Linked DNA regions of Cricetulus griseus. The protein of the gene in region 1 interacts with the protein of each later gene in a pairwise test. Links are inferred from orthologs where the notes say so. Each region holds a gene or a part of one and is shown on either strand. Other genes may lie near its edges.

Region 1 (4,186 bases):
AAGTTTCTGCCTTCAATAGTCAGGGATAAAACCTATTTTCACTTGGGCTGGAGTGATGGCTCAGAGGTTAAGAGCACTGACTGTTTTTCCAGGGGTCCTGAGTTCATTTCCCAGCAACCACAACCATCTGTTGGCTCACAACCATCTGTTATGAGGTCCAGTGCCCTATTCTGATGTGCAGATATACATGGAAGCAGAATGTTGTATACGTAATAAATAAATAGATAGATAGATAGATAAAATGTAAAACAAAACAAAACAAAACAAAACTGTTTTCACTCAGGAATCAGTAACTCATAGCCCAAACCCAAGACTTCATTCATTTTGGAAACCAGTTGTAAATTAACCAGTTTGGTTAATTTCTCTGGTGATAGAAGGTGCCTTTATTATTTTTCTTTCATCAAGGAAGGACCTGGTGCACACTGAAAATGGTGGCAGGGTAGTCCGGTTTTCGCTTCCACAAGCTGTGAGATCTTTGAGGGGCCCTGTTCAGTCGTACCCATCACGGCATGCCTGTTCTGCCACATTAGATAATAAATACTGGTGGGATGTAGTCATGCTTCATACCTCGGTGTATAAATATGACTTTGGTTGGACAGGGAGCCGCACAACTTTCCCGTTTTTATTCTTTCTGCAGTTCTTAATTAAGGTTCTCCCGCACTGGGGCACTCCTTCATCTGCATGGGCTACGACAAACAGTTGGGTTTTATTTACTTCCACCTAAGCGAGATTTTGTAAACATTCAAGCCGAGTAAGGACGGTCCTCTCGGACAAATGAAAGCAAAATTCTTGGGACTAAGTGTACCCCGGCGAGGCAGGTCCTTTAGCTTGTCCTGTATCGCCTCTTAACTCCCCCAAACTAGATCCCGAGGGTCCGCGTGGGCATCCCGACCGCGCCCCCTGGCCAGCAGCAGCTTGATTCCTTCCCGTGAGGGTTACGCCCCAGGGCGCAAGTGGAGCGACTCAAGCGTTAAACAAGACAATGTAAAAGCAGTCTAGCCAAGAAGAGACAGTGTTATTTTGGCAGCTAGCTTCTCCCCCTGAGCCTCCACCCAATCCCTTGGGCCAGGCGCCCAGAGCTCAGACTGTGGCCGGCTCCAGAAGCCCAGCTCCCTCCACGTGTCCTGTCTTCCCAGCAGCCTCTCCGCCGCTTGGGGAGGAAAATCTCCTGACAACTCGCGGTCTGTGGACTACATCTCCCGGGAGGCACCGCGCCACTTCTCGCACCCACCACCGGCGCGCACGCGCCCTGCGCTCTGTCAACAAGCGGGGCTGGTGAAGATTGTGTGCGCTTCCTGATGGGATTTGTAGTTTCTCCGGCGCTCTCCGACCTGCCCATCAGACGCTCGAGGACTACAAGTCTCGGCTCTCCCGGCGCGGAGAGTCCGGTCACGTGTCAGGGGGCCGACCGGGCGTGCGTGCCGCCGTTGATCGGGTGCTGCAGTGAGGTGGTTGTCGCCCGTGTTGTGTGTGTGTGAGTGTGTGTGAGTGAGTGAGTGAGTGAGTGAGTGTGTGCGTGGGGGCACTCGGCTTGTTGTTGTCGGTGACTTCCCCCTTCCCTCCACCCCTCCCCTCCCCGGCCGCCGCTGCAGTGGCCGCTCCCTGGGCCGTAGGAAATGAGCGATAACGATGACATCGAGGTGGAGAGCGACGTGAGTCCCGGGGCTTCTTCCTTTCCGTTCGGGTTGTCAGGCGGGGACAGCGGCCGGGGCCCTCAGCGGGGCGACGGCGGGAGGGGGCCGGGTCGCCGCCGCCTCCGTCCCCTTCCCCCGGGGCCGGGACCGCCTGCGTCGCGCTCCGCGCTCGCTCCCCTCCAGTCCTGTCCGGAGAGGCCTCCTGGGACTGAAGGTGGGAGCAGACACGCGGCCTCTGGGACCCCCACCTCCTCCCGTGGAGGAGGGTGCCGAGGCCTCCCTCTCCACTCTATCCGGCTGGGGATCCCATTATCCGTCCGGATCCTGGGCAAGGAGACCAGCGCTCAGGACCTGCTTCTTGGGTCCACGATCTCCTTTTACCCGTGGACCCGTTGATCCTGGGGGTGAGGGGACTGGGAGTGAGTGCTCTGACTCCCGAGGGGGGTCCGGGGAGAGCAGTGTGCTCCGGACCCCTCTTGTCCGGTTCGGATGCCAGAAAGAGGGGCGGCGCCTGGGACCCCCACCAGGCTGCGGGATCCCGCTGGAGAGAGTGGAGGGGAAAGAGGGAGGGAGGGGTGTCGGGCTGACTCCCCACCCGCTGCTTCCTCCGCCGCCGGCATTTTCTTTCTTATTATTGAATTCGAAGTGTAAAAATAACTTCTATATTTTCTATTTTTTTTTCTCTCTTATTCCAGGAAGAGCAACCGAGGTTTCAATCTGCGGTACGTCTCCTACTCTCCATTTCATTTTCATTTCCGTTCAGTTTTGGTCCTTTTTGGAGTCAGAGAGAAAAAGTGATCGTTCTTTATTTTTTAATATTCTTGTAAACTCTCCTCTTAACCGCTAAGGTGAGGTGGAGTCAGCTGGGGTTGGAGGTGGGGGGGTGGGGGGCTGCAAATCCTATGATTCTGGCTTCTCAGGTGGTAGATCCTAGTGAGTAGGTAGGTGAGTGAGAGAGCGAGCCCCATGCTAAAACTGAGTTGTTCTGGAGTGTTCAGTTAAGGATGCAGCCCAGGCACGTGAGAAGTGAAGGGTAGTGTTATTTCAGAGCAGACTTACAGGTCAGGTTTACTTAGGAGCAAGTAAGCTTTAAGCACTATCTGCACAGTTGTGTGAAGCTGCAAGCACAGTAATAATCGCCTTTAGCCAAAGTCACATGACTGCCACCACAGACTCTTAAAACTAGAAAAGCATGCTATTCTCAACAATAGCAACAACAACAAAATAGAAACAGGGAGGAGCCAGAAGTTAAATCTTGAAAGTGTCACAGCTTCTTGTGGTCTGACTTTCCATTTGAGAAGAAAAAAAAAAAAAAAGGTTGAAAAGTGGCATTGTAGGAGACAGCTACGCTAAAAGGTGTCCGGATGAGTCCATACAGTGTTACCAGTAACTTCTTAGGGTTTTGATGTTAAAGCTTTTTGTAGGTGTCTCTCTGGTGGATTTGGGTTGACACCATGAGCTCTTGTCTTTAGAGTCTGAGACTTAGTAGTAAATGGGTATAGATTAGGGAGAGGGAAGAAGACTGAGAATACATCCAGATCAGAAGAGAGACGACAAGTGTTATATTTGATAGTTGGCAATGGTGAAAAGGGTGTACAGGGAGGGCCATAATGCCTTTGCCTGTGGGGATTAGGTAATGAGGTAGTCAAGGATAGAGGGAGAGGTAAGGACTGGGATACTGAGGAATGCATGCCCCTTGTAGAAAGTCCGAAGCCACCTAGCTCTGGTGCTTGCTGTATGAGAGTGAGCTCAGTGTTGCTAGGTCTTATTGTTATTTCAGGGCTGGGGTTAGACCCTTTACCACTGAGCCACACTCCCTCGATTTTCCTACTTTAAGAGAAATGTTAAAATGCTAGAAACAGATTATTATTTTTCCAGTGTATTTGCGTGTAGTTTTTGGCTATTCTGGGACTTGAACCCAGGGCCCTCGGCATGCCCGGGGCCTGGCTATAACCTCAGCCTACTCAATTGATTTTTTAAGGTTACATTCACTTATTTAATGTGTGTTTGTGATTGTGTGCATGCCATGGCTCACATGTAACGGTCAGAGGACAACTTGAGGGAGTGGGGTTTCTCCTTCCAGCATGTGGGTCTGGGGTTGAACTTAGGATCATCAGGTTTGGCCTCAACAACTTTACCCACGAAGCTATTTGATTTTTAAATGATATGTGGAACAGCTGTTTGGGGGCTTATAGAGAATTAGCTGGATGCAACTAGGCTTGGTTGCCCAGTCCCGTGAACGCCCTTACTCGGGATGCCGAGGTAGGAAGATCAGAAGTTCAGGCCTGTTTTCAGCAATTTATTGAGGCCCAGCCTTAACATACCAAAAAAAAAAAAAAAAAAGAGTCCACGGTTGTATCCAGTTCTGTAGGCCCAGTGCTTAGGAGGCTTTGGCAGAGGGTTGCCCTGGTTTAGAGGCTGGCCTGAGCTACAGAATGAGATTCTGTCTCAAACAAACAAGAGCTCTCTACCTTTGTCTCTCTCTCTCGCTTGGGAATTTAGCTCCTTAGGACACTTAACTTTCAGTAGGCCCTGGTTCATCCCTAGCACTG
Region 2 (3,500 bases), on another chromosome or scaffold:
CATAGGTGCGGTACATGTCCTCAACAGATGCCAAAGTAGAACAGATGTTTCAGATACTGTTGGACCCCAAAGAGAAAGGCACAGAGAAGAAGCAGAAGGTACAGGTCCTGGAGTGAGCCTCTAGGGCTTCCATACATACCCCTTTGCTCACCAGTATGGACCTCAGAAGTCCTGCTGGCCTTGAGTCCTTGGTGTGAAGCAAGGAAAGGGAATTAGTGTTCACAGAGCACCTTGGTGGTCACCCTAGAGCCAGGAGCTGGCATACAGTGTGACTGAGGTGCTGCCCTTGCTCTTGAAGCCCTGCTAGGGACCCCACTCTAACCATCACCCACAAGACCAAGCTCTCCTTTCTACTTGAAGAGAAGGAAGCCGAAGTTCCAAAGGGTGAAATTTATGGCTGGCTAAGAAGAAGCAGTGAGGCCCAGAGCTCAGGGCCTCGCTGCCTGCCCTGCTTTTGGATGTCTGTAGTGTCAACATTAGTATGTACTTCCTCTGGCGTAGGCTTCTCAGAACCTTGTGGTACTGGCCCGAGAGGATGCAGGAGCCGAGAAGATCTTCCGGAGCAATGGGGTTCAGCTCCTGCAACGCCTGTTGGACACAGGAGAGACTGACCTGATGCTGGCAGCCCTGCGCACACTGGTCGGCATTTGCTCTGAGCACCAGTCTCGGGTAGGTAGTGTGGAGAGGTCTAGTTATTGCCTTAGTCTGTTTCTCTGTCCATTTGTCTATTAATTTTATCTACCCATCTACTCTTTCACTCCCCCATCTTTTTCCCAAAAGAGCTGAAAGCACAGATAGGAGCTACTCAACTATGGGCAACAATTAAAAGGACAGAAAGGATACACACAAATTAGGATGGAGTAGGACCGAAAAGGACAAACGTAGCCTCCTATACCTTGATCATTACTGTCCTGAAGCCAGTTCACAGAGACCTGGTCACTGCCCACTCAGGGCTGCTCAGAAAGAGGTTTTGTCCATTCCAAAGGTTGGATTCCTTTCCTCTGGAGAGGAGAGACCCGTGATGTCACCAACAGCATATCTGCCTTAGAGATAGTGACCTGGTTAGCAGCATGGACAGTGCCACAAGAATGGCCCTACTCCTGGGCCTGAAAAGTCCATGCCCCTGCTCTTGCTTGTGCTCGCTGGACCCAGCAAATAGGGACTTGGTCTCTGGTTGATCAGTTATGTGTACATTGGGAGTCAGGGTCTTCTTATGTAGTCTGGGCTGCCTTGAACTCACGGTCCCTCTGGGATTTCAGCACGTGCTGCATTGCTGGACTCCTTGATTGCTTTTAGAGGAATCTCCAGTTCCAAGAAGGGTAGATTGTGAAGTAGTCAGTGAAATCTCTTGAGGCCAAGCCTGGGCTATATTTAGAATAGTAAAACCATGTGTATCCTGTGCCCCAGGTCTGTGTGAGCTGGGATAAGCCCATCAGGCCTCCTAGGTTCTCTAGCTTAGAAGAAAGATGGAGAGGCCTTGCAGGTCTGCCCCATGTGTATTCACACCCTGAGGTGTGCACAGACCCTACTGCTGGGTTTGGGAAGGTGCTTGCATCTAACAGGATGCTTTGTCCAGGTGTGTTTTCTCCTGGAGGAGACATGAGACCAAATAGCTGCTCCTGGGGTTTGTCTTCGCTCCAACTATAGAGAGCAGAGGTGGATGAGGACTCTGCAATATCTCCTCCTCCTCCTCATTGTCAGGCATAGCCAAGACATAGTCTTGGCTGTCCCGGAGCTGGCTGCTATTCTGTCTCTGTCTAGGACTGCAGGTGTATGCCACCACTACCAAATGGGGTGCCTTCTTTAGACCCTTTCTAACAGGAAGCACAGCATGACACAGGTCATACTATTAGACTTACTTCCCTTTTCACTTGGAGCTGCCCCATCCACCCAGGTGTTTGCTCACTTTCTGGCCACACTCACTAACTCACTGTTAGGAATCACCATGGCTGCCCTTTACCAACCAAGCCTCTGTCCAATTCTTTCCCAACCTAGACAGTGGCAACCCTGAGTGTCCTGGGAACTCGGAGAGTAGTCTCCATCCTGGGTGTGGAGAACCAGGCCGTATCACTGGCAGCCTGCCACCTGCTGCAGGTTATGTTTGATGCCCTCAAGGAAGGCGTCAAGAAAGGCTTCAGAGGCAAAGAAGGTGCCATTATTGTGGGTGAGTGGAAGCAGGTCTGGTCCCTTGGATGGTACTGTTGTGGAGGGATGGATGGAATGGGGCTTAGTGGTGATATTTTACCCTAGATTCTTTTGTTTTGCTGAGACAAAGTCTCACTGTGGAATCGAGCTCTCATGCCTTAGATTCTAATAGCCAAGTGCTTGAGGAAAAAGCTAGGCTCAGCTCAGAACCCAGGAGGGAAGCCTCCTTTGCCTGTGCCGCTCTGGCTGTTGAGGAGTTCAACTGTCACACAGGGCTGTGTCACTGTAGAGTTCACTAATATAACATTTCCCTTGTGCTGCTTTGTCTGATGTGCGGAGGACTGAACCCATAATGTCATAGCCTTACACATCGATCAGTAGTGTGTATTGTTGCCAGATCCTGCCCGGGAGCTGAAGGTCCTCATTAGTAACCTCTTGGAGCTACTGACTGAGGCAGGAGTCTCTGGCCAGGGCCGTGACAATGCCCTGACCCTCCTAATTAAAATGGTACCCCGGAAATCTCCAAAGGACCCCAACAACAGCCTCACACTCTGGGTCATTGATCAAGGTAGGTGATAAAGTGTAGAGAAACTTGCTTGGGTGGCTGAGGCCTGCCTTTCTGTGGGAGTGATGAGAAAAGTTGCCATTGTATATGGCGTTACGCTTGTCCTGAACTGCTTGCCCTCCTATGGCCCTTATAATCTCTGTAGGGAGCACAAAGACCCTCCAGCTGGGTGTGTGTGTGATGGGTGTCTGTACAAATGCATGCACATTGGACAGTCCTGAAGAAGGCCAATTGAAAGGCAGTGTCCTCTTTCTCTAGTTGAAGTTTTTTTTTTTTTTAAATCACATTATTTATTTTAATTTTTTTTTTTTTTTTTTTTTTTTTTTGGTTTTTTCGAGACAGGGTTTCTCTGTGTAGCTTTGAAGCCTATCCTGGCACACACTCTGGAGACCAGGCTGGCCTGGAACTCACAGAGATCTGCCTGCCTCTGCCTCCAGAGTGCTGGGATTAAAGGCATGCGCCACCAATGCCCGGCTATTTTAAACTTTTAAGACATTTTTATTTATTAAATCTCCCCCTCCTCCCCATGTGTGTGTGTTCAAACACCATAACACTGGTGGAAGTCAGGATAACATGCAGAGGTTGGTTTTTGCCTTCTGCCCTGTGGGTCCTTGGGATCTAACTCGGGTCATCAGAGTTGGTGGCAAGCACCTTTACCTGCTGAGCCATCTCATTGGCCTGTTTGAAGTTTTTCTTAGTGATGATGTATTACTACTACTACTCTTGGAGAAAAAGACAATCAAATCATAATGTGGCAATTTACACTTCTCATTTTCCAAAAAGATAAATA
Region 3 (3,500 bases), on another chromosome or scaffold:
CAGGCCTTCTCCAGTAATGGTCGTCACGCCTGTGGTTTCTTCTGAGCCAGTTCAGGTGTGCAGCACTGTGACTGCTGCTGTCACTTCTTCCCCTCAAGTGTTTTTAGAAAATGCTACTGCTGTGACATCTATGTCTGCTATTTCTGATGTGGGAGCTAAAGAAGCTACTTATTCTTCTGGTGCCTCTGATGCTGGAGTTGTTGAGATCGCTGAAACTAATAACACTACCCCTATAACATCTACCCAGTCTACAGCTACTGTGAACCTTATCAAAACTACTGGGACAAGTACTAGCCCTGTGGCTTCAGTTGCATTTCCTAAATCATTGGTAGCATCTCCAACCATATCTCTTCCTGTTGCTTCCACTGCCTCCACCTCCATAGTTGTGGTTACCACAGCTGCATCTTCCTCTGTGGTGACCACACCAACTTCATCACTGAGTTCTGTACCTATTATACTCTCAGGAATTAATGGAAGCCCACCAGTGAGCCAGAGACCACCAGGTAAGGACTAGTTGTTTTCATCTGCTTGCTTGCTTATTCATTCATTCATTCATTCATTCATGTCTCTATCTATCTATCTATCTATCTATCTATCTATCTATCTAATCTAATCTGTTGGTTTTTCTAGACAGTGTTTTTCTGTGTAGCCCTGGTTATCCTGGAATTTGCTCTACTGTCTATGATGGCCTTGAGCTCAGAGATCAACCTGCCTCTGCCTCCAGAGTGCTGGGATTAAAGGCATGTGCTACCACCACCACCTGGCTTCATATGCTTTATTGTAAAGCTATTTAATAGAATTTGCCAGTTGTAATAAAATTAGGAGTTTCCAGTTTTGACATTGTCATCTATAAATGTGTTGGGCTGTATTCCTTCCTTCCTTCCTTCCTTCCTTTCTTTCTTTCTTTCTTTTTGGTTTTCAAGACAGGGTTTCTCTGTGTAGCTTTGGAGCCTATCCTGGCACTCGCTCTGGAGACCAGGCTGGCCTCGAACTCACAGCGATCCGACTGCCTCTGCCTCCCGAGTGCTGGGATTAAAGGCGTGCACCACCAACACCTGGCCCTATCTTAAAATGCATGCAGGCACTAGTTTAGATATGCCTGAATACATTTTAGAGTAACTCTGTATATATTTTGGCCAAGTATGATATGTTACCTTTTTTTTTTTTTAAGATTTATTTATTATGTATACAATGTTCTGCCTACATGTAGGCCTGCAGGTCAGAGAGTGCGCCAGATCTCATTACAGAGAATTGTGAGCCACCATGTGATTGCTGGGAATTGAACTCAGAACCTCTGGAAGAGCAGGCAGCGCTCTTATCCTCTGAGCCATCTCTCCAGCCCCATATGTTACCATTCTTAAAACCTTAGAATTCTACAAATCTGAACGCTAAAATTAACAGAGTTTATGGCTAGTTGTAGGATCAGGAATGATCAGATTATCAGTACAATTTTTTTGTTTGTTTGTTTTGTTTTTGTTTTTTGGTTTTGTTTTTGTTTTTGTTTTTTGAGACAGGGTTTCTCTCTTAACTTTGGAACCTGTCCTGGAACTCACTCTGTAGACCAGGCTAGCCTCCAACTCAGAGATCTGCCTGCCTCTGCCTCCCAAGTGCTAGGATTAAAGGCGTGCGCCACCACCACCTGGCTATCTGTATAGTTTTGTAGTCAGATTCTTGATTATAAGAATCAGATGTTTTCTAGAGATAATCTGATTGATAGGTTAGTAGGAGTAGAATTTACCCCCAGGAAATACTAAAAATTCAAAAACATTAGAGTGGAAATGATTGCTGAAGGACATTAAATGATGTAAATAGGACCAAAGTTCTGAGCCATTAGAACAGCCATTAAAATGACATGGAGGAAGTGCAACATACTATATGATAAGAGCTTAGGGTTGCTCATCTTTAAGGAGGGAATTTCATGTACAGCTGCTGGAGTGGGCATTACTCTTCCCCTCCCTCCCTCGGAAAATGTTACTGCATTTCTAAGAACATGTACAGCAGTGACATTTTCTAAAATGGTACACTTATTTATTTTGATAATTTTTTTATAGATTTTTATATGTATAGTGTTTTGCCTGCATGTATGTCTATGGACCACATACATGCAGTGAGTGCTTCCAGAGGCTTGCCTGCCTGCCTGCCTGCTTTCCTTCCTTCCTGTACCCCCACCCCCCACCCCCAGACAGGGTTTCTCTGTGGCTTTGGAGGCTGTCCTGGAACTAGCTCTTGTAGACCAGGCTGGTCTCGAATTCACAGAGATCCACCTACCTCTGCCTCCTGAGTGCTGGCTGGTATTAAAGCTGTGCATCAGCACCATCCGGCCTAAGGTTCCTTTTTAAAAAATATGTATGGGTGTTTTGCCTGCGTGTGTCTGTGCACCAGATGTGTGCAGTGCCCATGGAGGCCAGAAGAGGATGTTGCATTCCCCTGGGACTGGAGATACAGATAGTTGTAAGTTGCCATCTAGGTAAGCCTGGCTTCTCTAGAGAGCAGCCAATGCTCTTAACATGAGAGATCTATGTGCCTTTATGCATGTATCATTGAAGGCTAGAAGAGGCTTTTGATTCCTTGAAGTTTGAGTTACAGGCAGTTTTTGAGCTTCCCAACATGGTTGCCAGGAATTGAACTGTCTTCTGCAGGAGCTGCAATCTCTGAGCCATCTCTCTAGCCCTCAGATGCATGTTTTTTGTTCAAATTGAGTAATATTATTTTCACAGATAATAAAATAGCAAACTTGAGATATTTAGTAGCAATATCAGGTAAGTGTACTAATTTGAACTACTAGTAGATCAGTTTTGTTTGTACTTACCATTATATTATACCCATTTCTTTACCCCATAATTCTAAAATACTATCATTTTCGCCTTGTATTTCTGAATAGCTCTTCTAAACATTAAATCTCATTTGGTACTATTAATGATTTGAAATGTCTTGTTTTTGTTTTTTGGGACAGGGTTTCTCTGTGTAGCACCAGCTGTCCTGGAACTCGCTCCATAGAACAGACTGGCCTTGAACTCAGATCCACCTGCCTCTGTTTCCCAAGTGCTGGGATTAAAGGCGTGAACCACTAAAAAGATAAAAATAAAATGAATTATATTCTTAGCTATGAATAGTATACTATAGCAGGACAGAATTTCATTAACATCATAATTCAAGTGAGACATTACTTGCAGTATTATTAGATCTAGTGTCACATTTTTGCCCATGTATTCTGAAAGATAAATTCTTATAGTAGCTTCTCATTTTTCTGTTTTTCAGAAAATAGCACTCAAAATCCAGTGACTACTCCACAGATGTCTCCTAACAGCGTGAAACGTACTGGACCTCGATTGTTGCTGATTCCAGTGCAGCAGGGTTCTCCTACACTTAGACCAATCCCAAACCCACAGCTTCAGGGACAGCGGATGGTCTTACAACCTGTTAGGAGCCCAAGTGGAATGAACCTATTCAGGCACCCCAGTGGACAGATTGTCCAACTCTTACCTTTACATCAGATCCGA

Evidence for each region. The genes of interacting proteins can lie anywhere in the genome.
Region 2: the proteins of Max (region 1) and Unc45a interact in binary tests that used the Homo sapiens proteins (3 or more experiments, as listed by UniProt). The two-hybrid records come from large-scale screens. The link is inferred for Cricetulus griseus from reciprocal best matches to the Homo sapiens genes MAX and UNC45A.
Region 3: the proteins of Max (region 1) and Mga interact in binary tests that used the Homo sapiens proteins (3 or more experiments, as listed by UniProt). The link is inferred for Cricetulus griseus from reciprocal best matches to the Homo sapiens genes MAX and MGA.

What each region holds. Positions count from the first base shown.
Region 1 is NC_048598.1:126,561,405-126,565,590, forward strand, and holds the start of Max (protein max), read left to right. Parts: upstream 1-1,386; 5' UTR 1,387-1,616; coding exon 1,617-1,652; intron 1,653-2,329; coding exon 2,330-2,356; intron 2,357-4,186. UniProt on the Homo sapiens protein: Transcription regulator. Forms a sequence-specific DNA-binding protein complex with MYC or MAD which recognizes the core sequence 5'-CAC[GA]TG-3'. The MYC:MAX complex is a transcriptional activator, whereas the MAD:MAX complex is a repressor.
Region 2 is NC_048596.1:117,270,347-117,273,846, forward strand, and holds part of Unc45a (protein unc-45 homolog A), read left to right. Parts: intron 1-5; coding exon 6-98; intron 99-501; coding exon 502-669; intron 670-1,995; coding exon 1,996-2,164; intron 2,165-2,542; coding exon 2,543-2,713; intron 2,714-3,500.
Region 3 is NC_048599.1:58,545,504-58,549,003, reverse strand, and holds part of Mga (MAX gene-associated protein), read left to right. Parts: coding exon 1-503; intron 504-3,258; coding exon 3,259-3,500. UniProt on the Homo sapiens protein: Functions as a dual-specificity transcription factor, regulating the expression of both MAX-network and T-box family target genes. Functions as a repressor or an activator.